3 linked regions of the Saccharomyces cerevisiae S288C genome follow. The main gene of each other region encodes a partner of the protein of the gene in region 3 in a complex. Each region holds a gene or a part of one and is shown on either strand. Other genes may lie near its edges.

Region 1 (6,539 bases), on a different chromosome or scaffold from region 3:
GTCCTGTTCTTGCATTTTTTTCAATTCTTTTTTCAACTTTCTTTTCTCTTTTTTAGAAAGGGCTTGGCTTTGATATTCTTCAGTATCTGCAGCAACTTCCTTCTTAACATCGGCCTTCTTTTCTTTCTTCTCAAGCTTTTTCAAATTAGAAGCTGTAACGATAGTTGGTTCTTCTTTCTTCAATTCTTGGGATTTCTTTTTCTTTAGGTCATTTTCAAGCTTTTCAGCTTTTTCAATTTCCTTTTGATGCGAAAGCAACTCCTTCAACTTGAAACCTTTAGCCATTCTCTATATACCGTTGTTCAACTAACTGTGCTTTGTTACCGTTTAACTTTTTAACAGCGTAAAATTCTATAAAGCTCATCTCATCTGTATTTAGGCAGAAATAAAAAATTTTCAGTCCCGATGAGTAGTTATATCACTAAATACGAAGTCATATGTAAATTCTGCTGAATAAAAATATTGTGGACATATTGCTTAATTCTTATGCGCCAAGATTTTCACGGTACTAAGCCATTTTCTCTTAATTGAGCGTATAATTCAGCGCTTATATACTTTTCAAGCGTAGGACCATCATTTGACATAAATCCACCTGTAGAAATACCCTTCCGCCTTCTTGTTTTCATCACGAAATCACGACTTAAACTGTTGATAGGTGCGGGTTTCAATTTTGGAATAAACGCATCTTTATCCAAAACATCACCAGGAACCTTCCTCCATATCTTGTGCCAAAAGTACAGCTGACACATACCAAGACCATTCGTAGATAATCTCAAATCTGTCTCGAATCCTGCAGATTCAATAACCGGAACTTGTCCACGAACCTCCAACAATGGTGTCCCTGCCACTTTTATTGTTTTGTATATCCTGCTTCCACGTCTCTTCTTCATAAGTTCCTCTACTATTGGCAGCAAGGGGGCGTGGACCGTGATGTCAACTTCATAGATGGGTTCCAATAAAATTGGGATTGCTGTCAGTAAGCCAACGTAACAGGCTTTTTTCATTAGCGGAATAATTTGACTTTTCATAACGTCAATGTTTACGTCGGAAGGTACTGAGATCGATAACAATTTATACTGTACACCATAAATTGGTTCTTCTGCCAAAGGCCCCTCTTTTACAGCCCAGTAAAATCCTTGTATTATTTGTTCCTTATATTTGGATAATAATTCAGGACTGATTTCATCTGGCAAAGTGTCATTAATCAACACGTTGCCATTATAAAAAGACCAAACGTTTCTTGATGCCAACGAATCCCACCCATACTCGGTTCTCAATATTTTGGATAGTTTCCTTGGGTTGTCCATTATTCCGTCAATATCCAAGCAGTTTTGACCCTTTCCCAATGTGTTCCTGCTCAAATCCTGAATCATTTTAGAGTCCATTGGTTCAGCGGCTACACTAATCGACAGACCTGGTAAATTTTCCTCACCAAGGCGAGATATCGAATTACTTACAGGTATTGAAGCGAACGATTCATTTGAGCAACTTTCAGAAAAAACAGTTAAAGGATCAGATATTTTAATTTCTATCTTTGCATAACTCGCTCTTAGATCATACAACAAACAGTCCATATACAGCTCTCCATTTCCTAGTATTACATGTTCTCCAGATTCCTCAACTTTAATAATAACGCCTGGGTAGTATTTCGAAATTTTGTTCAGGGCATCCAATAACTTGGGTAATTCCCTTGGCAGTAAAGGTTGAAGAACAATTTTGAAAACTGCCTCGGTAATATAATCTAAAGGTTTGAAAAATTTTAGCTGTTTCATGTCCTCCTTACTCTTTACAGAGTACAACGTCGCGGATTTAATATATGCACTTGAAATACCTTTTATTAATACTATCTGTCCTTTGTGTGCTTCATGAACCGGATAGACATATCTGCCACCTAATAAGCCAATTTCTTCGACCTCACATGAAGGCGTTTCGTCATCTTCATCTTCATCTTCGTTGGAGGTTTCCGTCTTTGAGATATCATGCAACTGTCTTTTTTGGCGAGATTCAGATTGTGATGTATCAAGTATACGTACTGTATCCCCTCTCTTCAAAAGTCCAGAGTATATCCGTACAAGGGACCACTCTGCTCCACCGTAATCCACAGTTTTCAGTACATGAGCCCAAAGAGTGCCTTCTGGTGTAGATTTTCCTGGAATTGAAAGATGAGCTGTCTTATTGTCGAATAATTCAAATGGTTGATAACATCTGGTTATCGCATCTACAAGACCGGTTTGTTGCCTAAATATTAACTGTAGAACGTGTTTTAAAAAAGGTTGCGGATCGTACTGGAGGGCCTCTTGACTTAAATTAACTCTAAAGTTAGACCTTAACAAATTCTTTAATTTATCTTTCTCCATAGATAAAGCGTAGGAAAATATTTTATAAAGCGGGATGAGGATAAATTCAACGAAAGTCGGGTACTTCTCTACATTTTCAAATGGTTTTGTCCTGAAATTACCTTTATGGTAATATACGCTACCCCATAGCCTTGTGGTAAAGTCGTCTATCTTAGAAGAAGGTATGGAGTGGGCGTAATAATAAGAAACAAATTCCTTGATAGTGAATGTGAAGCCCAGCTTTGTAGACGCAAATATTATGTTATTGTCTATTGGTGAAAACACGTTTCCCTTCGTAAAGGAATTGATATTTGCAATTATATGATTTAACTTCAAGTATGCGTCCATTGGTGGCAACTTTAAATCTAGAATCAATCTGTCGAGTTTATTTATAACAAAACACATTGCTACATTATTTTTAATACTTTGTTTTATCAATTGCTCTACCACAAATGTAACACCTTCTACAACATCTATCACGATTAAAACCAAATCACTTGCTGCAAGTGCGACTGCCGTTTCATCCATAAAATTAACATGCCCTGGTGCATCCAAAAAGTTTATCATTCTAGACTTGGATTCTAAATCGGTGCAGAGTAGAGTGGAACCATTAAGTTTAATGGAAAGACCCCGGTCAATCTCTTGTTTCAAATTATCCAGGTATCTTAGCGGTTTCCATCCAAGTTCTACATTCTTAGACATATCTGGTATGCGTTTGTGTGAGTCGATTACTAGGAGATCCATCAAAGAGGTCTTACCTGAGTGAAGAGGTCCAATGACACCAACATTTATTATCCTCTCCGGAATGTTAGCCATTGATAACATATAGTCTCGATTATATCTAGTCTTCGGAATGTTTTTTTTTAATTGTGTAAAAATTGTATGCTCTTGCAACTTTGTTCGTTCTGTAACCGGCTCTACCAGTGGAGTCTGTGGTGACTGTGTGTTCTTAGTTTCCATTAATACTTCCACTTCCTTACCATAAGGGTGCTCTAAGGAAATTCCAAGTTCCTTTTTACTTCCTAACGAGGTAAGTTGTCTGCTCTCAATCTCATTGTTGTTGCCGCTCCCCTCAAACGTATTGGTTTGATATTGTTCTTGCTCATCCAGCACACTTTCTTCTTCATCCGAGTCAAAAGGATCAACTCCGATCAAATTTCCAAACTCATCGAATAAATCGTCACCTTCCATTTTGCTATGTTAGGAGCTATTGTGTATCGCTTCTGTAAAAGCAGCTAGCAATCGTCAGCCGTTGGCAAGTAATGCCCCAAAGCCTTGTTTTCTGCCACTTTGAAATTTTTCAGGCCTTTCCGGCATTAAAATTTCCGCAATGAGGCTTTAACAATCATTAATCATCCCATAAGGATAAGCCAAAAGAACAGATCATCAATTTGACGAAGAACATACCAGTCCGTGTATTTGTTTGCCATTGTACAATAAAATAAATAAAAATAAGTCAAATAAATGAAAAATGCCAGAGTATACGCTACTGGCTGATAATATAAGGGAGAATATCGTTCATTTCGATCCGAATGGTTTGTTTGATAACTTGCACACCATTGTTCATGAAGATGACAGTCAAGAGAACGAGGAGGCCGAGCATTTCAATTATGATCAGGTGTTGGATAAATCGTTATTGTCAAGAGGTTCTATTGTCGGTCTCGGTTTAGGACTAATGAGTCCCGTTTTAGGAATGTGCACTAGTATGGCCATTGGGCTAATTAATGGTGGTCCGTTAACTATAATGCTAGGTTTTTTAATCAGTGGAGTGTGTATATGGTTTTCGTCGCTTTCTCTTGGTGAGATTGTTTCAAAATTTCCGATGGAACTGCATGTTGGGAGTGCCATGTTGGCCCCGGAGAAATTGAAATTAGTATGTTCGTGGTACACTGGCTGGTTAATGCTCATAGGGAATTGGACTATGAGTACCAGTATTACTTTTGCAGGCGCTCAACTTACCATTTCTTTGATTCTGATGACGAACTCCAACCTAATATCCGAGGCACACTTGATTTTTTACACAGTCATTGTATTTTACTTAGTTGTGACTGTTGTAGGCCTCGTGAATTTGAAATTTGCAAGATTTATTGAAACAATAAACAAAGTCTGTGTTTATTGGATCATATATGCCATTATATTTATTGATATTCTTCTACTAGTATTCCACAAAGGTAAATTTCGATCTTTGAAGTACGCGCTATTTCACTTTGATAATAATCTATCAGGGTATAAAAGCGCATTTCTTTCCTTCATCATTGGATTCCAACAGTCTAATTTCACGTTACAAGGTTTCAGTATGTTACCTGCTTTAGCTGACGAAGTCAAAGTTCCTGAGAAGGATATTCCACGTGGTATGTCGAATGCGGTATTGTTATCCGCGTTCTCTGGAGTCATTTTTCTTATACCAATAATGTTAATCCTGCCAGATAATGATTTGCTTTTTACCAATCATAAGGTTCTACCAATAGTGAACATTTTTACAAAATCGACTGATTCGGTGGTCTTGTCTTTTTTTTTAGTGCTCCTAATTTTAGGAAACTTACTGTTTTCCGGAATTGGCTCGATTACTACATCTTCTCGTGCGGTATATAGTTTTAGTCGTGACCAGGCTATACCATACTACGATAAATGGACCTACGTCGAACCGGATTCTCAGTCAAAAGTCCCCAAGAATTCTGTTGTATTGAGTATGATAATATCATACTTTTTAGGTCTGCTAGCTTTGATTTCAACGGCCGCATTTAATGCTTTTATAGGCGCTGCAGTGCTCTGTCTTTGTTCTGCGACTTTCATTCCGTTAGTCTTGGTGCTGTTTACGAGAAGAAGAGCTATCCGAAGCGCGCCAGTAAAAATCAGGTATAAGTTTGGTTGGTTCATCAACATTGTTTCTATTGTGTGGCTCTTGTTATCTATGGTTTCTGTTTGCCTACCAACGCAAGTGCCTGTAACTTTCAAAACAATGAATTATGCTTTAATGGTGTACGTATTCTGCATTTTAGTTATCACTGGTCTTTATTTCAAATGGGGGAAGTATAATTTTAGATTACCCTTGGCAGATGACATCAAGGCTCCAATTCCCAGTGATGCGGAAGAAACTGTTTTTGAACTAGAGGATAGCAATGTTGAACATACTCTAAACTCGGGAACCACAGTGAAAGAGTCTGTAGAAAATAATTCTGAAGAAGGTTTCATCAAGGTGCATCCTAAAAGTAGTACAGAAAATCCCTTTGAGGAAAATGAGGAAAACGTGATAACCGATTATGGTGATGAGCACCATACAGCAGAACAAGAATTTGATCTTGCCGATGATCGTAGATATGATATATGATATATGATCGTGATTATACACCGTTATTTAATGGGAAAAGACTTATATAGAAAGAATATACGTAGTTTTAATTTATCAAGTGAAAAGGGCACTCGCTAGAATTAGCAAAACGCCAGTGCAGCACCATTTCAAGCAAGTTGTGCCTGAGCTATGGGACTGTTTCATTTCTTCATCACCTTCTCCTTGATGATGATGATGTCCATCGCTAAATCCGATACCAGTTTGGAACATTTGTAAACCAATTACTAATAGGAACCCTGCAGTAACGCTCAGTAAAAAATCCATGTTGGGTTCGTGATCCCTTGGAGTACTACCTTTAAAGATGAAATAACCTATCAATGCACCTAATGGTTGAGATCCACCACCGAGAACGGCAGTAATCAAAATGGCAACCCATTTAGATTCGAAAACAGTGTAGAATGGTAACGTCATTGCAAATCCTTCGACAAAATTATGGATCGTCAAACTTAAAAAAATGGAAAATCCCAAGGACTTTGACGAATCTGACCTGTTAGTGTAAAAAATAATAAACCCTTCGGGAAATTTGTGTAATGCAAGGACTAGACAAGTTTGCATACCAATAGACAGTAATTTGGAAAAAGGGGTCTCTAAGTGATGATGGTGGGGGTATAATGAACCATTTTCGGGATGGTATTGTGTGTCTGCCAATGCGGCCGGATTCTCAGTTACATCATTTCCCAAAGGTGACGAAAAAGAGTGCGACAACTGGTTGGAACCATAATTTTCGGGCGATTCAGAGGAATGATGATGGCGGCTCGAAAGAAAATTCTTACGGTACAACGATAGGTTTTCAAGATCGTAACCGATATTATTTTCCACGCATACAAGGCCACGATGATCCTTGTCATCGGATT
Region 2 (3,895 bases), on a different chromosome or scaffold from region 3:
ATAATTGGAGGCAGTAAAGCATTATAGTCATACACAATAATAATAATAATAATAATAATAATAATAATAATAATAGTAGTAGTAGTAATGGTAATAAAAAAGTTAGAAAAGAAATTAGATACAGATATTCGTAGTAAAGGCCACGCAGTACAAAAAAGACGGAGAATATATTATATAAAATCCTCTACTCTTTTCGTTCAGGTCCAAAGGAAAATTCTTGCACGCGCAATGGACTGAACAGGCCTTATATTATACAAAAAGCCTAATAACGATCAAATAAAACAAAAGAAAGCCGTTGCTCCTATGCCTGACCAGAGACGGCTACTTGTTGTAAGTGAGTCATGAAATTTTGTAAGGAAACATCATCTGTTAAGACAATTGTAGATCCTCCGCGCGCCATGTCTTGATAGTTATCGGAAGGATTCAATTTAGATAACAAGAATCTGGCTTGAGAACCACCGGCTTCAGTATCAATGAATCTTGGTAGCGGGAACCTATCTACTAACAATTCTGCGGCTTCTAATTTTGGCTCTTCAAGAAGAGCTTTGAAATCTGCGTACTGTGGATCGTCTTGGTAACCGGCTTTTCTCCATTGAGCGATTTGCTCACCGTGGTATATTAAGATGAAGAAAAATGTATCTAATAATAGAATGGTATTGGGTTTGACGGAGATAGAGTCTAATAATACCGGTTGTGGATCGTCCTCCATTGAGAAAGAAGTTAGAGTTGGTTGAATCATGATTAAAGAATTAGTCGTATCCTCTCTTGTGAAAATATGTCTATAAAATGCAGTTTCATCCGGAGAATTGTTAAAGACACTTAAGAATTGGGATCTTCTTAAATAATAGGTAAATTGAGGATACAGTGAGAAATTTGGAGCCAACCTGAAAGATTGAGGATCATCTTTATTATAGTCGGCGTACTTTTGACATAGCTTAATCAAAGTTCTGTCTAACCATCTAATAACATCTGCACCATCATCGGTTTCAGCCTTGTGAACAGCAATACGAGCCATCAAAACGGCAGCAGCTTCTTGATCGAAAGAAGCTGCAATGGCAGGAGTACCGAAGGGCAAAAGCTGGTTTGCGACCGTGGTGACTCTGATACGGTTGGTACCAGAGGAGTGTTGATAAGTAGTGATGAATTGAGTATATGCTAGATGAGGTCTATCTGCTGAACCAGGGGCAGACATCATTGGGTTAGAATTAGCCGCAGTGTTTGCAATTTCAAAGAAAATCGCATACGAGTGATAAGGCGATAAGGAAGCCATCTTCCAGGTGGACGTTGCACCTATACCGATTTCAGATTCACTGATGTTGTTAGCGTCTGTCTTCTTTACAGCAGAAGCATGCCCAATCAAACCTTGTACCTTCAAGTCTTTACTTGTCTTGACTGCCATATTACCATTGAAAGCCATCTTCAAATACCCTTCTTCATCCTTGGCAAACAATCTCAAGTATGATTGCTTAAAAATCGCGGTAGAGAAGGCATCGGTTAGCAACAACACACCTCCAGTAGAGTCGGTCAACTGTTTCATTTCAGACATACCGATTTGATCGTAACAACCGGCAAAAATATCAACAGTGTGTCCATTGGCGGCAACTCTTTGTGCAATCTGGTTGTAAAACTTACAGGCCTTCTTGTAATGTTGCGCGTGATCAGAATCGATGTCGTGGTGGGATCTTAAGGGATCTTTTAACTCTGAGTTAACAATCAAACCTGGGGCCACGGTGCCTGGACCGGAGGCGAAAAGAATGATTCTTGCTGGGATGTTCTTATAGCAGCCCTGTAAAAGCAAAGATGCAATGTTCAAAGCGGAACCTGTGGCCCTTAATGGCCTATGACCCGCTGGAACAGACCATTGGTCTGGAGACAGATTTTCCAGTAATTGATTCAGTTTGAACTCGACCTGTTCCAAGGGCAGGAAGAACCTATTCAAAGAGAAGGGCGTAACTTTGTTCATGGCGTTCGGTAGATGAGATGCAGCACCGCCGGGGCCGGTAGGCTTTTGGCCGGTCAACATTTCCGTCAACGCTTCGAGCTGGTACTCCCTGTCTCCTCTGAACACGTTGCACCTGTCAATAGTTTCGCTGGACAGATCGTGCAATTGAACAACGTTTCCGTAAGTGATCAACCCAATCAGCGCGTTGGGAGGTAATAGAGACAAAGAAGTGATGATAGACTCCTTTAGCGAATCGAGGTTCTCGGTTTCCGAAGTCAAATCCACAACAAAGAAGAAAATGGGAGGAACGGTAACGGGCTTATTGGTGATGTACTCAATGGTGGTGGACTGTAACTCTAGCGGCATATTCTCCTGTGACAAGTTGGTGTACTGTGGAGGTAAATGGTTCCTGGAGTTACAGATGGGACAACTCCAGGACGAATTGCGCGGATCAATCACACAGTAAGGATTTAGAATCGACTTACAGTGTGGACCGGAACACACAACTGGATTGTATGGGGCAACGTTCAATTCGTCATACTCCTTCAAAGGTGTGTACAAACAGCCCACAGGGACGACGTTGCTGTTAGCGTCGCTTCTAGTAGAGGGAAACACGTTCCAGGTGAAACGGACCCCGTTGATGTCTTCATTAGTCTCGAAGTCCATGGCTAGAAAAGAGGAAGGGGAGGCAGGCGACAGACAGATAAACACTGGCTTCAGTTAATTGTGTGTCTTGCTGAACGTGGAAAGATCACAACAAGTATCTTTTTTTCTTTTTTCAAACGTGTTTTTCTTTTATTCTTGCTAGAACTTTCCTCCTTTGTAACAAACGAGAGGCGGCGGGCTAGTCGTCGCAAGCGACAAATCTCAACTGACAGTAAATAACGGTGATAAAACAAAATTAGCGCAATCTCTCAAACTACTGAGGACAACCAACTTGAATTGCACTCTTCCAAGTTGTAGCATGGCTTGGGGGGTGTGTGATCCCATCCTGTATTATGGCAAAGCAGGCAAAACAACCGCTCTGCCGTCCGGGTAACTTTTCTTGTTCCACCTCTTTTCCCCAACATATATGAACATGAGATGGTAAGAGCAAGAAACAACGGTTCTATGAGCAACGCAAAAACAGCACAGCACACACAGCACCGCGTACTATACCACACCACACACTACGTCACAACACAACAAGACAATGAGCGAGAGCAGTGATATCAGCGCGATGCAGCCGGTGAACCCGAAGCCGTTCCTCAAAGGCCTGGTCAACCATCGTGTAGGCGTCAAGCTTAAGTTCAACAGCACCGAATATAGAGGTACGCTCGTGTCCACGGACAACTACTTTAACCTGCAGCTGAACGAAGCAGAAGAGTTTGTTGCGGGTGTCTCGCACGGCACCCTGGGCGAGATATTCATCCGCTGCAATAACGTGCTGTACATCAGGGAGCTGCCGAACTAAGACGACTGTGCTCATCTCCCTTACATACCAGTATATTTACATACGCCCTCTACTGTAATACAATATCATTCTATAGCACTCGCATCGCGTATTTTTTTTTTATTTTCTTGCTTTATATTGTTCTATTTTTCTTCCTTATTCCTGCCTCTGGATTTCCCTCGCATGACAAATAGCGTGGAAAAATAAAGGATTTCCAGTATTTGAAAAATTTTCAGTATTCTTACGTGTTCCTAACTCATATAGACCGCTATTGTAATAACGCTATCGCTTCAATTACACACAAACATACACGCACCCACAATGAGCATCGAATACTCTGTTATCGTTCCCGCTTACCATGAAAAGCTGAACATCAAACCCTTAACAACCAGATTGTTTGCCGGCATGAGCCCTGAAATGGCCAAGAAGACCGAGTTGATCTTTGTCGATGACAACTCACAGGATGGCTCCGTTGAGGAGGTGGACGCCCTAGCTCACCAAGGCTACAACGTCCGCATCAT
Region 3 (4,979 bases):
TGGTTTTCCAAGCAACAAAATAGCGGCTACAGATACTGTTGGAACTTTTATCATATTTAGCAATCGTACGGAAGCTAACACTACCGCTATGACGAAGACAGTGTCATACTGTTATCGTAACTACGGGCATAGTTTCTACTTCACTCATTACAAATACGACTATTTTCCTAGCGGGATTAGTTATATGGCAAAACTTGGCGATGCCACCGTCAACCATACGGACTTACCTCACTTTAGGAACAACAAACGGCTAACAACGCAAGAACTCAATGCCTTCCAACATCCAATTGTCGAGTTTCAGTAAGTACTCAGGTATTACGTTATGTACATGTATGATAATTCTGATTAACATCTTTTATACACAAAGATGTATGCATGAATGGTGCAAATATCTCGACGATGCGCAGTAAAGAAAGCAATTTACTACTAACGTCTAGCGATATCATAGATGATGACAGGATAACGATATAGGTTAGATGGATATTGGAGTAATTGTCAAGTCCCATTTTGATTGAAGACAACATTATTAGGCCTACAGAGTTGCTAAAATTCTCCACTAGGTCACAGGAGTTCGCAAAAGAGAATCAACAATCTACATAACCATGCACACATTTCTTCGTCCTCTACGTTATAATTTACTGCTCTAAAAGCGTCACTTCTCCTTTCATTTTATGTTTTATTGTTCATTATCCTACTGCGTTATCAATCCTTACATTTCGGCTTCCACTAAATTTAATGACTGCTTCTCATCATTTCATGTCTTCTAACGCCGTATATAATAATATCCCAGCAAAATATAACTGTTAGTTAGTGAATCATAACCGACTGTTACTCCTGCAATATCCATGGGAGAAATCACCATCGGAAGGTAAACTAACACGTAGGTATTGATTCTACCGGAAATGAACAAATGTCGTACTGCCCAAATGAGCCAAATGCCATCATATACGCCTTCATAACTATATTTGAAAAATACCTTTGCCTAAAAGACGAGTGGTATTGGAAACTTCAATTAGTGTTCAAAAATGTCCAGTGAGAGGATGAAGTTGTCGTGGTTGAAACAGCATAAACCACCTAAAATAGTATCAACTGACAACAACTGTGGAACACATGCGGTTACTTTTATAATTAACCGCAAAATACCTGAAATGAGCTAAGAAATAGTAATTATAAACATGCCACTACAAGTAACAGATTAAGTGATATGTTGGCGGACCTCAATATAAGCGACATGGAGAGATAGAGATAGAAGAATTTGTTATTGTGTTAATAAATAAAGTTAACATCCAGTTCTTTCAAGTTGGCTAAGCGCCGTGGCGCAGTGGAAGCGCGCAGGGCTCATAACCCTGATGTCCTCGGATCGAAACCGAGCGGCGCTAATTTTTCATTTCTTTTTGCCCGCAACAATAACACAGATCGCAATCATTTAAGCTATAGACTATAAGCTTTAACTTCTGCGTTATTATTAATAATTGTTATTGTTTTAGTTAGGTATTTCTATCAACTTATTTTATATATTCTATATTACAGTTTTCTTTTTTTACAAATTCACCCAGCAATTATTTATTATTAATTGTACATCTTCTTTAATAATGAATTTATTATTGCACAATATTCAACTTAGGAAAGATAGAGGAACTGAATTCTTTATCAGCAATGAAATAGGCCGTCTACGGCCGTCTACGGCCTATTCCATTGCTAAAAATTTGAATCGTATAAAGGGATATTACCCGGAAAAGAAACGCATTAAAAAAAAAAAAAAAAAAAAAACAGAAAAAGTGGTTAAGTGATTGACTGACCCTTGATAGTTTTGTACAATTATACACTCGTTCTGATTAAAAACTTGTTTATAAAAATCTTTTTAAAAGAAAGAGAAGATCGTGTTTATTGCTTTTCTCAAAAAGACTAATCAATTAGAATAACAAAAGAAACATATACATATAATGACTGAATTGTGTCCTGTCTACGCCCCTTTCTTTGGTGCCATTGGTTGTGCCTCTGCAATTATCTTCACCTCATTAGGTGCTGCTTACGGTACTGCTAAGTCTGGTGTTGGTATCTGTGCCACTTGTGTGTTGAGACCAGACCTATTATTCAAGAACATTGTTCCTGTTATTATGGCTGGTATCATTGCCATTTACGGTTTAGTTGTTTCCGTTTTGGTTTGTTATTCGTTGGGTCAAAAGCAAGCTTTGTACACCGGTTTCATCCAATTGGGTGCCGGTCTATCAGTCGGTTTGAGTGGTCTAGCTGCTGGTTTCGCTATTGGTATTGTCGGTGATGCAGGTGTTAGAGGTTCCTCTCAACAACCAAGATTATTCGTCGGTATGATTTTGATTTTGATTTTTGCTGAAGTTTTGGGTCTATACGGTTTGATTGTTGCTTTGTTGTTGAACTCCAGGGCTACTCAAGATGTTGTCTGTTAAGGCAGCTTCTGAATCACTAAAGCAGGAATAGAGTATACAAAAGAATCTTTTTGTGAGAAACTATGAAAACTATCAAAATTTTTCATCTTAGAGATTGTTTATAGCCCCTATTCTTACTTCATATCCAAACTACCTCATTTCAAGCTTCCTTTTTATTAGTACCATTATTATTGTTTAAAAGAGTATTACACGCTAAATATGTATATCTTAATTTTTAATGTGTATAAAATAGAAAATTTGAATATCAAGGAGCAACAAAGAGCATTATGCGTTTTAAGCTACACAATGGGTACGATGAGATCACTATACCTGTACTCTTAAAAGAGGCCCAACCTTATCAACTTCTATTGTTAAAGTAGACAATTGTATCGTTTCTTTTTCTTATCGGTTTTATCCGGGTAATAAATTCAGCATATAGAAAAATTTTTCATTTCTATTTTCTTTTTCTTTTCATTTTTCCTTTTTCTCAGAAAATTTTTTTTTCTAATGCTGGAATGAGATGAGTTAGAAAATTTTTCACTTTAAAACTGATTATTCTGGTTAATAGTGCTTATTCCTCTTAGTGTTCAAGTCCTACTTTCAAATCTTAATTTAAATCATCATTCGAGCGAGCTTTCTATACCAGGACCATACTGATTATTGCAAGGAACTTGAATAAACCAGATTTCATACTATAAAAACTATATTAAAAATGTCTGCCCCAAACCCAAAGGCTTTCCCATTAGCCGATGCTGCATTAACCCAACAAATCTTGGATGTCGTTCAACAGGCTGCTAACTTGAGACAATTGAAGAAAGGTGCCAACGAAGCTACCAAAACTTTGAACCGTGGTATCTCCGAATTCATCATTATGGCTGCTGACTGTGAACCTATTGAAATCCTATTGCATTTACCATTACTATGTGAAGACAAGAATGTTCCATATGTCTTTGTTCCATCTAGAGTTGCTTTAGGTAGAGCTTGTGGTGTTTCTAGACCAGTTATTGCTGCTTCTATTACCACCAACGATGCTTCTGCTATCAAGACCCAAATCTACGCTGTCAAGGACAAGATTGAAACTTTATTAATTTAAGTAGATTGGATTATATCTATCAACATAGTTTTTGTACCATCTATATACTATAAAAAAGTTTTTTGCTTTCCACTAGTGCAGACGCTAATAGTGCTGTTTTGTTAGTGGTATGATATATGTCATATCTTCATTGAATAACCTACTCGAGTGCATCTGTAAATGCACAAACATGTATTATCAATTGAGCTGTAGTAATTTAGGCATAACAAAAAGGTGCAAGATCTCATGGCACCTATTCGTTCGTAGGAGATTTATTGTCACCTTTTTAGTTTTACAGGATCGAAAAAATCTATGGTCTTGTATGGTGAATGATCTATATGTCTTCTCTTTGAATTTCTAGCTAGCTCATCAAAGCCGCTTTCATTTATTCCAGTCTCTTTACTCACGGAATATTGTTTAGTAACATTTCGCATGCTTTTCTCAGACCTTCGAAAAGCTCTTTTACATTCGAGCTTGATCTTTTTGTAATCATGCAACGTTCTCATCCACAGCTCACCAATGAATTCCGATATTATATAAATTTGGCCCTCAGTACCGCAAAGTAAAAATAGAGGTATGACGCCTTCCAACCTTTGACTATTGAAATTTGGACATATTTGAAGGTTTTGAAATCCATCTGGGATGGCCGCCAGTGAGATTATCTTATTAGGTAACCGAATTTTGAGGTATGGCATAGCCAACCCGCCCTTATCAACTGATAATTTAGAATCTTCGTATATTGTCAAGGTATTATCAATACCAATGGTGGCAACATAAGATCTATTGGAATATTTCAACGTTGCACAAGAAAGGTCTGATAATCGACCTAATAGATAGTTCTTATCACTCGCTAAACAATCGTTTTTAGGTTCTCTTAGCTTCTTAGGAATTATTTTAGTCGCCACTTGTGTAATGCTTCCCAACCGCTTAAAACCCAAGTAGGGACATTCAGGGTACTCTGATGGATATACTATGGACGTCCTAATTGGAAAGCGGGTTCTCAAAAAATCTCTCAAGATCTCAAATTGAACCAGATAATCACCACTCATATAAGCTGGAAGACCTATATGGTTAATCGATGAAAGTGCTGGGAAGGAATAGGCCTCTAAAATTTCCGCGCCCTCTTTTAGCATGTTTATTTTATATGCTGCTATGCCACTATCACCAGAAAATAAAACCAAGTTGCACTCATAGTATATGAACACCGAGAATATACAATCTTCGAGATAATTCGCGTACAATTGGGTAATGTTATTGTTTCTAATTTCAAACAGCCAGAATTTTGTACGTTTTTCACCAACTCCTAAGCATACAACAAACTTATTACCATAAAAGGGTCTCTGTGATAAGTAGATTGAGTTTTGTTCTGGCCACAGTGGCTTCACAACGGCATGTAAATACTTTTCATCCGAGAAACTGAATGTGGAAACTGCCTTCATTGAAGCATAATTGAATAGCATCAACTTATACTGCCTACTATTGCTATCGACCAAACACACCAC

What was found. The genes of interacting proteins can lie anywhere in the genome.
Region 1: SNU13 (region 3) and SNU114 share a complex: the UniProt entries of both Saccharomyces cerevisiae proteins name them as parts of the U4/U6-U5 tri-snRNP complex.
Region 2: SNU13 (region 3) and SMX3 share a complex: the UniProt entries of both Saccharomyces cerevisiae proteins name them as parts of the U4/U6-U5 tri-snRNP complex.

The regions. Positions count from the first base shown.
Region 1 is NC_001143.9:119,505-126,043, reverse strand, and holds SNU114 (U5 snRNP GTPase SNU114), read right to left. Parts: upstream 3,528-6,539; coding exon 501-3,527; downstream 1-500. Other genes in the region: EBP2 (Ebp2p), read right to left, coding at 1-285; TPO5 (Tpo5p), read left to right, coding at 3,808-5,664; Zn(2+) transporter ZRT3, read right to left, coding at 5,740-6,539. UniProt on the Saccharomyces cerevisiae protein: Component of the U5 snRNP complex required for pre-mRNA splicing. Binds GTP.
Region 2 is NC_001148.4:897,060-900,954, forward strand, and holds SMX3 (mRNA splicing protein SMX3), read left to right. Parts: upstream 1-3,134; coding exon 3,135-3,395; downstream 3,396-3,895. Other genes in the region: GTPase-activating protein SEC23, read right to left, coding at 302-2,608; DPM1 (dolichyl-phosphate beta-D-mannosyltransferase), read left to right, coding at 3,696-3,895. UniProt on the Saccharomyces cerevisiae protein: Plays a role in pre-mRNA splicing as a core component of the spliceosomal U1, U2, U4 and U5 small nuclear ribonucleoproteins (snRNPs), the building blocks of the spliceosome.
Region 3 is NC_001137.3:98,826-103,804, forward strand, and holds SNU13 (RNA binding protein SNU13), read left to right. Parts: upstream 1-3,117; coding exon 3,118-3,498; downstream 3,499-4,979. Other genes in the region: YEL028W (uncharacterized protein), read left to right, coding at 1-304; VMA3 (H(+)-transporting V0 sector ATPase subunit c), read left to right, coding at 1,944-2,426; YEL025C (uncharacterized protein), read right to left, coding at 3,756-4,979. UniProt on the Saccharomyces cerevisiae protein: Common component of the spliceosome and rRNA processing machinery. In association with the spliceosomal U4/U6.U5 tri-snRNP particle, required for splicing of pre-mRNA.